Diceros bicornis minor: one gene and its partner. The protein of the gene in region 1 purifies or fractionates together with the protein of each later gene. This does not show direct contact. Links are inferred from orthologs where the notes say so. Each region holds a gene or a part of one and is shown on either strand. Other genes may lie near its edges.

What was found.
Region 2: the proteins of LRIG1 (region 1) and ERBB2 purify together in Homo sapiens (co-immunoprecipitation; 4 studies listed by BioGRID and IntAct, with this or other methods). This does not show direct contact. The link is inferred for Diceros bicornis minor from reciprocal best matches to the Homo sapiens genes LRIG1 and ERBB2.

What each region holds. Positions count from the first base shown.
Region 1 is NC_080741.1:65,480,845-65,488,923, forward strand, and holds the start of LRIG1 (leucine-rich repeats and immunoglobulin-like domains protein 1), read right to left. Parts: upstream 3,002-8,079; 5' UTR 2,432-3,001; coding exon 2,217-2,431; intron 1-2,216. UniProt on the Homo sapiens protein: Acts as a feedback negative regulator of signaling by receptor tyrosine kinases, through a mechanism that involves enhancement of receptor ubiquitination and accelerated intracellular degradation.
Region 2 is NC_080757.1:39,359,143-39,366,712, forward strand, and holds the start of ERBB2 (receptor tyrosine-protein kinase erbB-2), read left to right. Parts: upstream 1-4,493; 5' UTR 4,494-4,707; coding exon 4,708-4,780; intron 4,781-7,570. UniProt on the Homo sapiens protein: Protein tyrosine kinase that is part of several cell surface receptor complexes, but that apparently needs a coreceptor for ligand binding. Essential component of a neuregulin-receptor complex, although neuregulins do not interact with it alone.

The DNA of each region.
Region 1 (8,079 bases):
AAGCAGAAGTCACGCTATTCACATCTTAGAATCTAATCAGTTAACACCCTATAATCAGTAAAATCAAGTCTACTGAAGCTCAGAATACCCAGTTTGGAATTTATTGATCATCAAATGTGAGTAAAACAGAAAAGACTGCAATTTTAAAGGTATTTATGCCACGTGAAATGTCACACAGGCAACAGAAAGCCCAAAAAACGACCAGTAGTTTTGCTCCAAAAATTAAAGGGCAAGGCAAAGTGGATCTTGTGACCATAGGAAAGTGCAAATAAGAGGACACCCTGTCTTCTCCGGGAAGTCACCACTTGTGAACTAAGTGTCTTCCCCACAATGCCACTGACACATGGCATTGGTAGTCACTCTTGCAACAGGTGAACACTTAACGAAGTTATTCTGATACTGCCCACATGATTTTATTTTTTAAAAAACTACCTAAGAGTATGTAAAGGAAAAACCACAATACCCCAGATTGCCTCAAAAAAAAAAAAAAAATACTACCTAATGGCAACATTGGGCTCTATCTCTCACTACTTAACACAGCCACTGCCTGTGTTAAAACCCACACTATGACCACTGGTTTTCACGAAGCCAGTGAATTTCACAGAAGCAGCAGTGTGTTGAAGAGAAAACTGAACCCTAACTAACAGGTCCAGCTTCAGAACTCTGCAGTGCTCGATCACTAAGCAATGTTTAGTGTGGGCCAAGTTAAAGATCTGTGCCCCATTTTCAGAGGTACAGGATCTTCACATAAGAAAAGAATTAACTTCTCTTCTTTCCCCTCAAGGCAGCCAGATAGACACCCAGACCACATTTTCTTAGATCAAGCCACAGGTGTTGGTTAAAACTTGCGTCACCAGTTTTGTTTCTCGTTTTTAAACAGTGAATATCAGGCCTGAGGTTACCACTGTGTCTCTTCGATATTCTAGGAAAGATGTCCAATTACTTTCAACTGAAAAGCAGACTATTCAAGCCAGGCCTTTTCTGGAAGGTACTAACAGTTCTGCAGAGATGCTAATTATTGATAATTGGACAGGATTTTTGATTCACGGACCAGATTTTTTACAAGTAAAAAAAAGGGGAGGCTATTACATTCTACCATGTTTACAGAAATCTAATGTATTTTTTTCCTGCCAAACCTCCTGTAAGAAGTGTCCCACTAAGTCCTGATAGGCCAAACTCCTGACAGCACAGAAAACAGCCTCTTTGCAGTGAAACAAATCCTGCCTAAATCAACCAAGTCTCTGGCACCCGCTCCTGAAGTAACGCTACTCCAAAACTTAACTTGCACCATTTATAGAGGACAAATGCTAGAGGGTGCGCCCCACTCCGCTGGATCATCAAGCCCAAAGGGACTCCTAGGGAAAAGACAGGAAGGGTCTGGAACACAGTTCCCTGGACTGCCAACCAGGTGGAAAACGACAAACTCTCAGCAGTCACAGATCTCCAGGAACTCTCAAAGCCCCCTAACTCAGGGAGCCTCCAGGGAAGGCTGCCTTCTGCCCTGGCCAGAGCCAAGTCGGGCCACCATGGTCCTGGGAGATGAGGAGGCGGCTACACACAAACTCTCACTAATAAATAATGTAAATGGAAGACTGCAGCCAAGAGTCACCTTCATTCATTACCCACTGGAAGGCCAAGGAGCTCAGACACCAAAGAGTTGGGTTACAGAAGGGGAAAAAGAAACACATACCCGCAGACCCCCAGACAGACCTCCTCACACTCTCCCCTCCAGATGTTTCCCTCTCCACCCACACACACGCACAAAGACCCTCACCTCCAGACTCTTCACTCACATTCTCTCACCTCCAGACTCCCACTCACTACCTCCCACATCGCCCTCATGCCCCACGGCTCATTCACCTCCAGATGCGTCTGACCCACGCTCGCTCACCTCCAGAACCCCCCGAGACACACTCTTTTCTCTTCCAGGCCCTCACCACCCACGCTCATTCCCCTCCAGACCCTCACGACCCCCGCTCGCTCCCCTCCGGACCCCCATGAGGCACACTCTTTCCTCCTTCAGACTTCTCACGCCCGCCCTCTCCCCTCCGGACCCCCGTGCGCGATCTCACCACTACGACCCAAGCTAACAGTTTTCCAGCCCATACAACTTCACACACACACAACTCAACCCATACCCCCTTCCTGGGTAAGCACCCCCGCCGCCCCGTCCCCAAGTGACAGCGCCCCGGGCTCAGGGAAAGGGTGGCACTCACAGGGTCCGCGTCCAGGCGGGCAGGTCTCCGGGCAGTGCCGCTAACCCGCGCCCGCCGCAGTCCAGCGAGTCCCCAGCGCAAGCGCAGGCGGCGGAGCAGGGCGATCGCGGGCCGGCCGCGGCCGTCGCCGGCTCCAGCCGAAGCAGCAGCAGCCACAGGAGAAGGCACGGCGAGCGGCGCGGGGCCCCGAGTGCTCCCCGGACCGGCCGCGCCATCTTGTCTGGAGCGCGCTGCGAACTCCCGGCGCGGGGGCTGCGAGGTCCCGGACGACCGCAGGCGCAGGCGGGCCCGCGGGGGCTCCGCTCGGCTCTAGGCTCCGCGCCGGGGCATGGCCACCGGCACAAGTTCTCTCCGCCGCAGCGGCTCCGGCGCTCAGCGGGTCCCCGGTGCCCCGGCCGCTCCGCAGCGCCAGGAGGGGGCCGCGAGCCCCGCGCCCATCCGGGCCGACCCGACCGTGCTCGCTGCGAACCCCACGGATCCGGGCAAGGGGTGCTCAGCGGGCGCTCTCCGTGCTCCCGCCGCGCTCCTGGCCTGCTCCTGAGCCCCAGAGGTCGCCAAGTGCAGCCGCCGCCGCTGCAGGGCAGGCGCTCAGCCTCGCAGCCCGAGCTCTGCGCCCGAAGGCATCCTCCTCTCGGCTCGGAGCGCCCCGCTGCAGACCCCGGGCTGGACGGCGCGGTCGCCCTGCACTGCTCCGAGGGCCCCGTGTGCCTTGCTGTCCCAGAGCCGCAGGCAGAGCGCGCGCGCGCAGTTCCGGGCTCCGCACAGCACCTCCGCGCAGCGAGAGCCCCGCCGACCTCGCGGCCGAACAATCAGCCGCTCGCCGCTCTTCTCCCCGCGGCCCAGCCTGGGCCGGTCCCCGAGGCCCCGCCCCCGGCTGCTCGCCCTCACACACCCCCTGGACTCCGCGCCCCGCGGCCTCCCGCCGGCCCACGTTGGATGATTTGCAACAGCGCCCCGCCACGCCCCACGCCTGCTGCTCATTGGCTGCCGGAGCCCACGGCGGCCAGCCTGGAGGGCCATTGGAGCGCTCGCTGTGATCCCGCCCCTCCCGCCTCGCGGCCGCCCCGCCCGACTCTCTTTTCCCACCCAAGGTGTGAAGGGCGGGGACTGGGAGGAGAGGGAGAGAAGTCCTCCGACTCTTAAAGGGGCCGTGCTGGAGAAGGAGGGTGCGGGCTGGGGAGAGGCGTAAAGATATGCTCCCTGGGTCTAGGGGAGGAGAGAACGTTGCTTAAGAGGGTAACGCCCCCGCTTTGGAGCTGTCTGACCCCAAGATTTCTTCGCTTCTCCTCAGGCTGCAAACAGGGGCGGGGATTTAGAGCAAATCTGCACTCATTTTCCAGGTGCCCTCTGGGACTAAAGACAGATTTAAAAACTTCACGAATTACCTACTGATTGGAGTATCTTTAGTTATTTCATTAGGGGTGGCCGCCTTCCTCTTGGCACAATCTGGACCTGCCTTCTGTTCCTGACTGTTCTTGAACTCTTAAATCCAACAATATGTCCTTGATTACCAAAGTGAATGTGTACTGCAGAAACCACGTCTCAAGGGTGCACACACTCCCACCCCCCAACCCCACCGCCCTAGGTAGTAGAACGGTACTTAAAATGCTCCAGCCTTCGATAAAGGAATTGCTTTGTATGGTTGTTTAAATCAGAGCCGTTTAAAGCCAGTTTTCAAGGAGACATAGAGTACTTTTAAGAGACAGGAGAAAAGTAAAAATAGTTACAAACTTCTAATTTTGGCTCTTACATGTCCGAACATGGTAGCCATGTGTTATGACAGTGCATCTAAACAGTAAGGGCTGCGCGCGGACACACACGCGCGCGCACACACACAGTGAAAAAAGGAAAAGACTAGCACAGCAATATATAGCTGCCCCTCTGGGCGTTTTTGGTTTGCCAGTGTCTCATGTCCCTTCCGAAGAGTATGCAAGTTTCTAACATAACTGCACACATTGTCAGGAAAATTAAGCAAGTCGAGACTGTTGAAAAACATTTGCTCCAGCAAATGAAACTGACTTGTATTTATGGAAACGGAGGAGAGATGTTCCTTAGGAAGAAAAAGCAAAAAAAAAATTTTAAGGTTTTTTTTTTTTTTCCATTTTTGACACCTTCTAAGGGATTTGGTTTAATTGAGATGTTAAACTTTACCTCAGCCATAAGCGCACCCCTTTTCTTTAACCAAACTTGGGGTTGGGACTTGGTAGTCAAGTGGTTGCTGGTTTCCTTTCTTCTTATTCCCTCCTCCCCCTTCTTCTGATTCATTATGCTATCAGATAATGGTGCCTCATTTCTCTCTCTCTCTCCCATGATCCCAGCAGTGATGCCCAAAGCAATGCTCAAATATGTGTATAAATCCATCCAAATATGATCCCCAAGAAAGATTATCAGAAAAATGCTGCACCTGACCCATTCTACCCAGGGCTTTAACCAGCTTTTGTATTTCATTTCTAATCCACATAAACATGCACCTTCCATCTGGACAAGAAGGAATATATCTCTTTGTTGTGATGCCTTTTGGTAAAATAATAATAAGCAGAGAAATGGAATTTAAAGGACCCCAAAATTATGAAGTCCTCTATGTTATGTGTCTTCTATTTTTCAAGACGGAAGAATACAAAACAGTAATTTAATGCAGAATACCCATGAACATTTCCTTAAATGAAACTGTCAGATCCTCCTTGCCCCACCTACTCCCCAAAATAAAACAGCATATGCCTCAAAAAGAAATTGAACTCTTTGAACTTCTTGGGCTGCTGACCTAAAATTGTCTTTCAGGTTTGTTCCATTATTGGTATGGTAAAATGGATATTTATTATCGGAAGTTTTCCAAATGCTTGTGGGTGTACCTGTTCGATGCTCTTTGGGGACACGAGAGTTCTGGAGGATAGGAATTGAGAATCTGCAAGGTAAGGTGTGCCCACACATCTAAAGCATCCCCTGTGGTCTGGTTACCACGCAGCCAGAGAGGAGGATTCCAAAACCAAAGAACACTTGGGGGGACTGGGCGCCTGAGCCTTGGCAATTCCTCTCGTCTACAGCAGAGCATGAAGTCATGTCTGCTCCCCGTACCATGTATGGAAGTTTGCCCATATACTAGCAACCTGCTTGTGATTGAAAGGAGAGTGTGCGCTTGAGAGCAGTGATGTCGAGCTCAGGGGAGAATTCATCTGTGCCCACAGCCTAAGATCAGGGAGACCTGAACACCCACAACGGCAAGTTCCTAAGGGAGTCTATGTCCATGCTTCTAAAAGAGCAAATCCTGGGGCCAGCCCGTGGTGTAGTGGTTAAGTTCGTGTGCTCCGCTGCAGCGGCCCAGGGTCCACAGGCCCAGATCCCAGGTGCAGACCAAGGCACCGCTTGTCAAGCCATGCTGTGACGGTGTCCCATATAAAGTAGAGGAAGATGGGCACAGATGTAAGCCCGGGGCCAATCTTCCTCAGCAAAAAAAAGAGGAGGATTGGCAACAAATGTTAGCTCAGGGCTAATCTTCCTCACAAAAAAAAAGAAAAAGAAAAAAAAAAGAGCAAGTCGTGGTCCATTCAGCACAGAGCAACAGTTGATTTGGGCACCCTGGGTCCTCATTTTCCTCCACTGCCATTTTCACAATTTTAAATAGTTACTTATTCCTCGAAGAGGTCATCCAGGGATTTTAGATTTTTCAGCTCGTTTTAATCTACCAGAGACCAAACTCCAGGGCCAGCATGGAATCAAATCCCCAACGATAATCACTACAGATCTCTTTCAAATACAGAAGCCCTAGCAGCTAATCATCCGAAACACTCTGAAAGAGAGGAACCCCGCATTTAAATAGCCTGAAATCACCAAGTGGGGAGAGAAGCAAATGACAAAATAACAAGAAAGCAGGTTGATCACAGAGATTTCTATTTTTACACAAATTCCAGGGGACTGAATTGGGGCAGTTTGTTACAGTTCTAGGTGGTGATAATTGGTGATTTTATAGAACACTGAGATCCAGAGGTGCTTTCTTACTGCGAGAAGAGATTTCACATTATGTTCAGTACATTAAAAGAGCACCAGGAGAGCCTTCAGAAGACCTGGAGCCTAGCCAGGCCTCATTAGCCAGGAAACCTTTGCCCAGTCATTTATTTTCTTTAAACTTCAGTTTTCTCAAATAGAAAACAAGGATAATGGTACTTCTGACCTGAATGCTAATACGGTTAAAGAAGGATCCATTTTGATATAGGACGCAAGGGGCTTTATAAACTGTTTAGGGCTACATATATCTAAGGCTTATTTTTAAGATGTTATTGAATTTTAACTCTGAAAAAATTGAGAGTCCATATACATACTATAGATGGAAAATCTTTTTTTTTTTTTTTGTGAGGAAGATCAGCCCTGAGCTAACATCCATGCTAATCCTCCTCTTTTTGCTGAGGAAGACCGGCTCTGAGCTGACATCTATTGCCAATCCTCCTCCTTTTTTTTCCCCCAAAGCCCCAGTAGATAGTTGTATGTCATAGTTGCACATCCTTCTAGTTGCTGTATGTGGGACTCGGCCTCAGCATGGCCGGAGAAGCGGTGCGTCGGTGCGCGCCCGGGATCTGAACCCGGGCCGCCAGCAGCGGAACGCACGCACTCAACCGCTAGGCCACCGGGCCGGCCCTAGATGGAAAATCTTAGTAGGTGCTTTCAACATAAAGGGTTTTTTCCAGGAATGCCACAAAGGGTTAATAATTACCTATAAAACCCCTGAAGACTGGCAGGGTGATGACAGCTCTGCTTTGAGCCTGTCTTGTATCTCTCTTCCAAGGAAAATAAAGCCGTGTACTCATTAACTCCTTCCTCACAATAATCTTGTCAAGGAGATGGATTGGTAGAGAAGGTAAGAGAGGAAGCTAATGAGTCCGGGGATGGAATATAAGAAGAGACAATTTTGATATTTCTCTGTCCCCCATTGCAACGTTTCCCTTTGGTGGAGGTGAGACGTGTGCTTCGTTGTGCAATCTCTGACTATCGGAATGCTGGTTAATGCCCAGACAGTGCCAAGCTGTAGCTGCAGCATTTCTGCAGCAAGAATGGCTGTTGCCTGCGGCTCAGCTGCAACCCTGCACAAGTCTCTGCCCTCTTCTACAGAGCAGCATCAAACAGGGGCCAAAAAGCATTCAAGTCTACCTTCTAACACAAACTAGGACCTGCACACTTGTCTTCACCTTGTGAATTTGCAATTTTAACTGGTTCACTGAAGGGATAAAAGAAAATTTTATGTAAGCTAAGAACATTTCAAAACTCTGAGATTCTGGAGTGATGGTCAGTGTACGAGGCAGCCTCTTGGCTGCAGTGATGAAGGGATGGGCTAATTGCATCATCACCAGAGATTGTACCTCTCGCCCCCAATCCACTGCCTTTCCAATTGTTACTTGGAGCAGCATGTGAAAGAGGAGGGGGCGGGAAATCAAAGTTTATGCCTTACTGCCAGCAATTCAGAAGCAACACTTCAGTGTGTATAAAGAACAGCACATTTATCATAACTTATAATAATAATCTTCATGAAGTCATATACCTTCTATTTTTCAAAGCAATGTCTCATCTTAGCAACAGCTATCATTTACTGAGCACTTATTACGTGTCTGTCACTTGGCTGAGTGCTTTGTATACTTTTCTCATTGAGGTAAAGTTGAGAAGAATGCTCAAGGCCACACAAGCTAATCAGTGACAAGGCCAAGATTCCAAGCCGGCTCTGTGGACACCAAAGATCCATTATGACATGTGAGCCTTATAAACTCTGAACATGACAGTTGTTATTGTCCCCACTTTATAGATGCGAAAGCTGAGGTTAAATGATTGTGTCAAGGTCACACAGGGTCAAGAATAAATAAAACCTTAAATCGAAGTTCCATCT
Region 2 (7,570 bases), on another chromosome or scaffold:
GCCTAAGGAGAGAGGAGGAAAACTCCCCAGGCCTTGGGCCTGCGTTCCTTTTGTTTTTTTGTGAGGAAGATCAGCCCTGAGCTAACATCCAATGCCCATCCTCCTCTTTTTGCTGAGGAAGATTGGCCCTGGGCTAACATCCGTGCCCATTTTCCTCTGCTTTATGTGGGATGCCACCACAGCATGGCTTGACAAGCAGTGCGTCAGTGCACGCCAGGGATCCGAATCTGCGAACCCTGGGCCACCGAAGCGGAGCGCACACTCTTAACTGCTACGTCACCGGGCCAACCCGGGCCTGCAGTCCTGAGATGGGGTGAGAGGGGCTGAGGGAGGTGATTGGCATGCCCAGTTTGTCAGTTTGGGCTCTGCTCCTTTGCTGACCCTAGGCCCTGGGAGTTGGCCTCCCAGTGGTTAAGTTGCAAGTGTTCTTAAAACGCCACCTTTATGAAGGACAGATTTTCTTTTTTTTTTTAAATTTTTATTTATTTTCCCCCAAAGCACCAGTAGATAGTTGTATGTCGTAGTTGCACAGCCTTCTAGTTGCTGTATGTGGGACGCGGCCTCAGCATGGCCGGAGAAGCGGTGCGTCAGTGCGTGCCCGGGATCCGAACCTGGGCCGCCAGCAGCGGAGCGCGTGCACTTAACCGCTAAGCCATGGGGCTGGCCCAAGGACAGATTTTCTTATCAGAAGCTTCCAAATTACTCTCTTGTGGCCCCAGGGAGGCCTTGTGCCTACTCTTGGGGGGACTCTTTCTAAGTAACTAATTCATATAGACACTTCCCCAGCAACCCATGCCCTAGACTCGAGGCCTGTGGGGAAGGCTCCAGTTTGCGGCTTAGACCTCGGACTGTGAACCGTCTCCTCCCTTTTTCTGTTTGTTTTCAGTCCTCTGACCCCAGGCTGGCTGGTGAGGTAGGCAGAGGGGAGGAGACTCTGGTGCCAACACACACAGACACACACACACAGACACACAGACAGACACACACACACACACACACACACACACACACACACAGAGTCTTCTGTGCCCCCCAGTCTTAGTGGCTGGTCAATGATTGACTGGCATTTCACAGGCCGCTGGTTCCAGACCTCAGCCTGTTGACCATTAGAGGTCACCTCCCTAAGCCAGAGCCCCTTCCTGACTCTTGAGTGCCGGTGGTCACCTCCACTGCCCTCAGGCCCAGTACCTGTTGCACAAGGACCTCCTCCGGCAGGTCTCATGCCTCTGCCCTCAGCCCCTCGGTTCACTCTCCTCTGTCCTGCAGTCAGCCCTCTCCTGTGTAGCTGTCTCCCTCTCCCCAGGCCCCTCACTGGACCCTTCTGGCAAACTCTCAGGCTCTTCCAGCCACCCGGCCATCCCCCCCCACCCCAAGGTCCCCCCCCCTCAGCTTTTGTCCCTCAGACATCCTCTTTCCTTGGCTCTCCTGCCAGGCCCTGCTGGAGGGGCAGTTGAGGGGAGAAGCAAATCAGCAGCGCCCACCCCTGCCCCCCTTCCTCTCCTCTTGTCAAACACCAGACAAGGTTTTTTCCCCTTCCTTCCTGGCTCTGAATGGGCTCATTCTCTTTGGGAGACTTGGCCCCTCTCAAGCCTCCTCCTGGGGCGTGAGTTCTGACCCCCGCTCCCCCCTCATCCCCACTCCCGCTGGCTCCACCCTCTCTCTGCAGCCCACTAGGACTGAGCATTGTCTCCAGTCTGGGTTTCCTCCTGTGATCCGGGATGTGGAGAGGGTGGGCTTGTCTTGGCGGGGGCGGGGGTTGGAGGGGGAGGAGGGATTTTTGTGGAGCTAGGAACCAGCAGTTACCTTGATTTCTTGGAGGACCCCCCTCTGGTTCCCCTACAGGGGCCCAGGGAGAGGGTGGGTTCATGATACCCTTGATTTGGGACTCTGGAGCATAATGGATGAAGCCAAAGCTTCATGGCTCAGTTCCCGTTACCTCGGAATCTCGGGGTTCCTCTTCTGCAAAATGGGGAAGATAACACCCCTCTTCTCTGACACCCTGAGGCCTCAGTAAGATGAAGAGTGTCTCTCCAGGACGGAGAGAGTGGTGCAGAGTGAGAGTCCCGTAAAGGATGGCACCACTTCCCTGGCTGGATGAACTCTTCTAACACAAGAGCAGGGGAAGGTGGGGCCTAGGGGAGAAGTGACATCTCTAACACCCTGACGGTCTCTTGAAGACTGCATGTGCACGTGCCTGGGTGCAAGCACTCTACTATGTGACTGCAAATGACTCTTGGAGCCAGGTCAGCAGTCTTCTTTCCCCGCAGGGCTGAGAGGCACCTTGACTGGGTTCTGGCCTGTGTGATGGGTGAGGGTGAGGGGCTGGTTCTGCTGGCTGTTCAACTTTTCCCTCATTAGCCCTGAGATGGAAGGTCCTGGGAAAATTGGTTAACTCTCTTGAGCCTCCATTCCCTTGACCCTCACTCTAACTCTAACTTGAGTCTTAGAGAAAACAGGGGTATTGATGTCCATCCTGAAGGGCTGCTGTGTCCCCAGACACAGCAGTATTTCTTTAACGTTCATGACCATGATCCAAGGAATAAATCCATTGTACCTCATCACACCGGACACACATGCCCTTACCCACACTCACCCTTACTACACGTGAGGATGTGATGCGGATCTTTTCTATTCCATTCTATATCTTGAAAAAAAAAAGACCTGGGCCAGCCCCGTGGCTTAGCGGTTAAGTGCGCGCGCTCCGCTACTGGCGGCCCGGGTTCAGATCCTGGGCGCGCACCGAAGCACCGCTTGTCTGGCCATGCTGAGGCTGTGTCCCACATACAGCAACTACAACGATGTGCAACTATGACATACAACTATCTACTGGGGCTTTGGGGAAAAAAAAGGAGGAGGATTGGCAATAGATGTTAGCTCAGAGCCGGTCTTCCTCAGCAAAAAGAGGAGGATTAGCATGGATGTTAGCTCAGGGCTGATCTTCCTCACACACACACAAAAAAAGACTTGACTTGATCACCTAAATTGGTTTCATGACTGACCTTCTAATAGAACCTGACCTGCAGTTTGAACATCACTGGTTAGAGCTGGAGGAGGACTTACCAGGGTGTTAAGAAAGGGTAAGCTTCAGGCCCCTCATTTGCATGCATGTGTCTGCTTTTGTATTCATAACTTTGTATTCCTCTTGTTAAAGAGAGTCCCCCAAATTTCATAAGCTTCAGGCCCCACAAAACCTGGATCTGTCCAAGTATAAGAAAATCTGAGACCATGTATTAAGCAATCACTATGTGCCAAGTACTGTGCTGAATGCTTCAGGAGCATTATTTCCTATAATCCCTAGCACAGTATGCCAGATGGCTATTTTACAGGTGAGCAGACTGAGACCCAGAGAGGCTCAGTCACTTGCCCAAGGTCACACAGCCAATAAGGGGTGGAGTTGAGATTTGAACTCAGGTCATTCTGATCCCAGAGTGCCCTGTTCTCACGTCCCTACTGTGAAAGTGCCCGCCTATAACCATGATAGGAATATGGAAGCAGCTTAAGCAACGCTAGCGTCCTTCACTCTCCAGTCCCCAGTAGGTGCCTCTGATCCCCTCTTGACCAACACAGGCGTGCCCTTGGCTGAGGCATTCCAACTAGAGTTGCCAGATTTAGCAAATAAAAATAAGGATGCCCAGTTAAATTTGAATTTCAGATAAACAGAGAATAATTTGTTAGTATAAGTATGTCCCATGCAATATTTTGTTGGAATTTCCAACAAAAACATGCCTTCCTTCCATCGCCCACCCCCAATCCCCCCCCCACCCACCACGGGGCCTTAAGAACATGGTCCGGGGCTCCCGGTGGAATGCAGGGCGGGGAGGTGGAATTGAGCAGGCTAATAAAAGGCAAGAGACACAGAAGAAACCCTGGATGTATGGGGTGCTGAGTGCCCCGGTAAAGAAACACAAGGGATATTCTTGGAAGGATTGAGATGGAAGTCTCTCCAATTTGACTCTCTCTCCCCCAAACTTGTAGACCCCCTTAAAACCACGCGTTTCAGACTGAAAAAGATACCTAAGAAATTCGAAAAGCTACGCCAGGGAGTCCCGGAAGCCACCAATGAAATACACCACTATTGACTAGCAATTTTACTTAAGGATGCGGTGGGAAAACCATTATTTGATATGAAAACAAGGCACGCGATGGAGTAGGATGCAAACTCGCCAGGAATGTTTACGATAAAACCTGCGACTTAAAAGAGAGTTAAGGATGTCAGCCTAAAGCATTTGCTCCAGACTCCTGAGGGAGGGGTCACGAGCACCCTCCTCTCCTTTTGGGGGTTCTCCTTGGGAACGGGTGAGAACTGCTGCAGGCAGCCCGAGCGTCCGGGCGCTGGGAGGGACGCACCCCGGCCTGCGCCGAGAGAGGGAGAAAGTGAAGCTGGGAGTTGCCACTCCCAGGGACTTGCTGGAATGTGGTTGGAGGGGGTGGGGGGGGCGAGTTGTGAGCGCGCTTGCTCCCAATCACAGGAGGAGGAGGAGGTGGAGGAGGAGGGCTGCCTTGAGGAAGTACAGGCATGAAGTTGTGGAGCTGAGATTCCCCTCCATCGTGCCCAGAGAGCCGACAAGAGCCCCCCGAGGCAGCCGTCCGCCCCTTCGCAGGGTGCCCTTTCCGGCGCCGAGCGCCCAGCCCCCTCCCCTCGACGCGCCCGGCGCCCTCCCAGCCTGGTCCAGCCGGAGCCATGGGGCCGGAGCCGCAGTGAGCACCATGGAGCTGGCGGCCTGGTGCCGCTGGGGGCTCCTCCTCGCCCTCCTGCCCCCTGGAGCCGCGGGCACCCAAGGTGGGTCTGGTGTGGGGTGGGCATTGAGCAGTGACGGGACCCTGCAGCCTGGGACCCCCGTGGAAATCCTCGGGCCGGCGGGGGCTCCCCGACCCGAAGTTTCGGGCAGTCCAGGCGCTCAGAGCAGCCGGCCCCCGGCGGGGAGGGGGCAAAAGAAGGTGGGACGGGGGGTAATTACACCAGAGCGGCTCTAGATGTCCCATTCAAGGGACTGGCGCTTTCCAGACTCCGCGACGGCTCCGGGAACTTGTCAAAAAAGTTCTCTGAAATTGTTCAGAAAGTTTTCCCTCAAAGGGTGTATTGCATGGTGTGTGTGCGCGTTCGTGTTCCCCCTTCTGAGCCCCCTCAGGCTTTCTCAAAGCCTTTCCAGTTGGCAGCCTCCGCCTCCAGACTGGACTGAGCTGGATTTCTCGGGGGTCTCTTCTGCCTGCCCCTCCCCCTGCCCCCCCCTTCGGCAGATAGGGTTTAGTTACTCCAGCTTCGGACAGGATCGGGGTGTGGAGGGGGGAGGTGGGGAAAGCAACCTGTCCAGCCGGAGCCGGGGAGGAGAGAGGCCAGTCGGACTGCAGAGTTGCCTCATGCTGGAGTCGGGGATGGGGGGAGGGGGAGGCGTTTGTTTTGAACAAGTTTTCTTTAGGGCCAGTTTGGAGACTGTGTGCTTTATGACTTTTGGAGAGCATGGGCCCCGGAGGGGTGGTGGTGGGTTTCCTGGTCTGGGGCTCAGAATGGGAGAGTTCTAAGGGAGGGATTTCTGGGCAGTTGGAGGCGGGAGGGAGGCTAAGAAATAGGACGGGACAGGGGTATGCGGACGGCTGGGTTGTCCTGCCTTTTTCTTCACGCTGTGTGTGGGGAAGAGTTATGGGGGGGCAGGGTGGGGGCAGTGTGTGTCCTGCCCATCTGTCCATCTGTATGCAATAATGATTAGAGGTAACGTGTGCTGGGAATATACTCTGTGCCAGGCTCTGTGCAGGTGTTCTGCATGTGTTCCCTCCTTGAATAGAACAACCCTGTAAGAGAAGTCCTACTAGTATTCCCATTTTCCAGGTGAAAACCTGGACTCAAAGAGGTTAATAAGTAGCAGAGAGTAAGTGGTGGGTCCCAGATTGGACCCCAGGCAGTGGGACCTCCAACCACACATTCGAAATCACTGTATTAATCTACCTTGAACAATGGGGGACGCTGCTCCCTGCATCATGGGGTTCTGGGGAAGACAAAATGAGAGTGTTCTGGAAGTAGTGGGTGGTCTCCATAGGTCGAGGAGTCTGGAGAAGGGGTGGGTGTCATCCTGTCTGTGTGTTGCCCGAGGGTCCTTCTGTCAGAGCGTTGCTGTGTTATCTGAGGGGCTTCTATGCTAGGGTGTTCTTGAGTTGTGTGGTCTGTGTGTTTGTGTGTTTGGGCTTTGTGTTGCCAAACAGCAGTCTCCATGCTGACTTGGGGACTCGGCTGAACTCTGCCCTCTCAAGGAACTCCCTCAAGGTGCCGGGCCAGAGCTGCTGTAAACAGCAGGAGGTGGCCCCACACCTTCTTTCCAAGGAAGGAGGCTCCTCTTTCTCGGGAGCCCATCCTTCCCCTCCCTGTTTTCCAGGCGGGTATCTTCACCCCTGACCTTCTGCGGAGAAGGGTGAGGCCAGGCTGGGCTTTCAGGCTGAGCTGCTGCCCTCCTCACCTGGGCCTTCGAATTGAGCAGGTGGAGAGTAGCCGAGTTGCTGGGACCTGAGGGGTCGGTTCTGCCACCGATGACCCGGGCCTCCTCAGGTCTTCCTCACCCCTCAGCCTGCACTGCTAGGTTGTGTGTTGTGCAGGGAATGGTTAAAATGGCAGCGCACCACCCAGCTGCCTCTAGCACCCCCATTATATCCCAGGGCTAATGGCTGCGGCAGGAATGTGGGGGAAGGGGAGACAGAAAGGCCCAGAGGGTCAGCATTTCCCTGGGATCCTTTTTTAGAGGTCAAGGTTTTGTAAAGTGCAACAAACACATCTTCTTTATCTTGCAAAGCTCATAGTTTAATTCCCATATGATTCTCCCAACAGCCTCCTTCCTTCTTTTTACTATACTCAAGGAAAGTAACCTCATTTTAATATTCAGGGAAAAAATGATTGAAAAGATAGGATGAAATGCAAAAAGAGAATTACTCATACTCCTGCTGTATGAACTTCCCAAGCCTTAACTTTTAAAATATATACAGCGTGCTTCCTGTGTGCAGGTGCTTCTCCATTACGGTTTCATTTTCTGTCTGCAACAATCCTGTGAAGGAGGTACACAGGTGAGAAAACTGAAGTTCAAAGAAATGAGGTGACTCACCCAGGGCTTCCCAGCGACCCAATAATGTCCAGGGCATTTTTGTACTCTAATGAGGAGGTGTTAAGGGTTGGTCAAAGTCTCGTTCCATGTCCATCCATACAGGAATGGGTTGAGCGAAGCCTCAGGGGCAGCCAGGTGGCTGGACTGGGGGACAGGTGCCACTCTTACTCAGGTGAATGAGCTCCCTTATCTGGGCCATAGAAAGTGGGGTGAGTGGGGCCCCCCTGAGGTCCCCTCTAGGCTTCAGAGTCCTCCCCCTCCCTGTTCAGCCCATGTCTGCCTTCCTCTTGGACCCTCCTGGCATTGCAGGGGGCTGAGGGCAGGAGCGGGGCAGAGGCCAGTGGGACCTGCAAGGCGGTGGGTGAGGGAGACAGCTGGAGTAGAAGCATGAAGGACCAGTGTGGGGCAGGGGTTGGGGGCTGGTGTTGGGCCCAGGTAGTTGTGCCTGCCCCTGGGTGCTGGAATGATCTGGAAAGAGATCCCCCTCC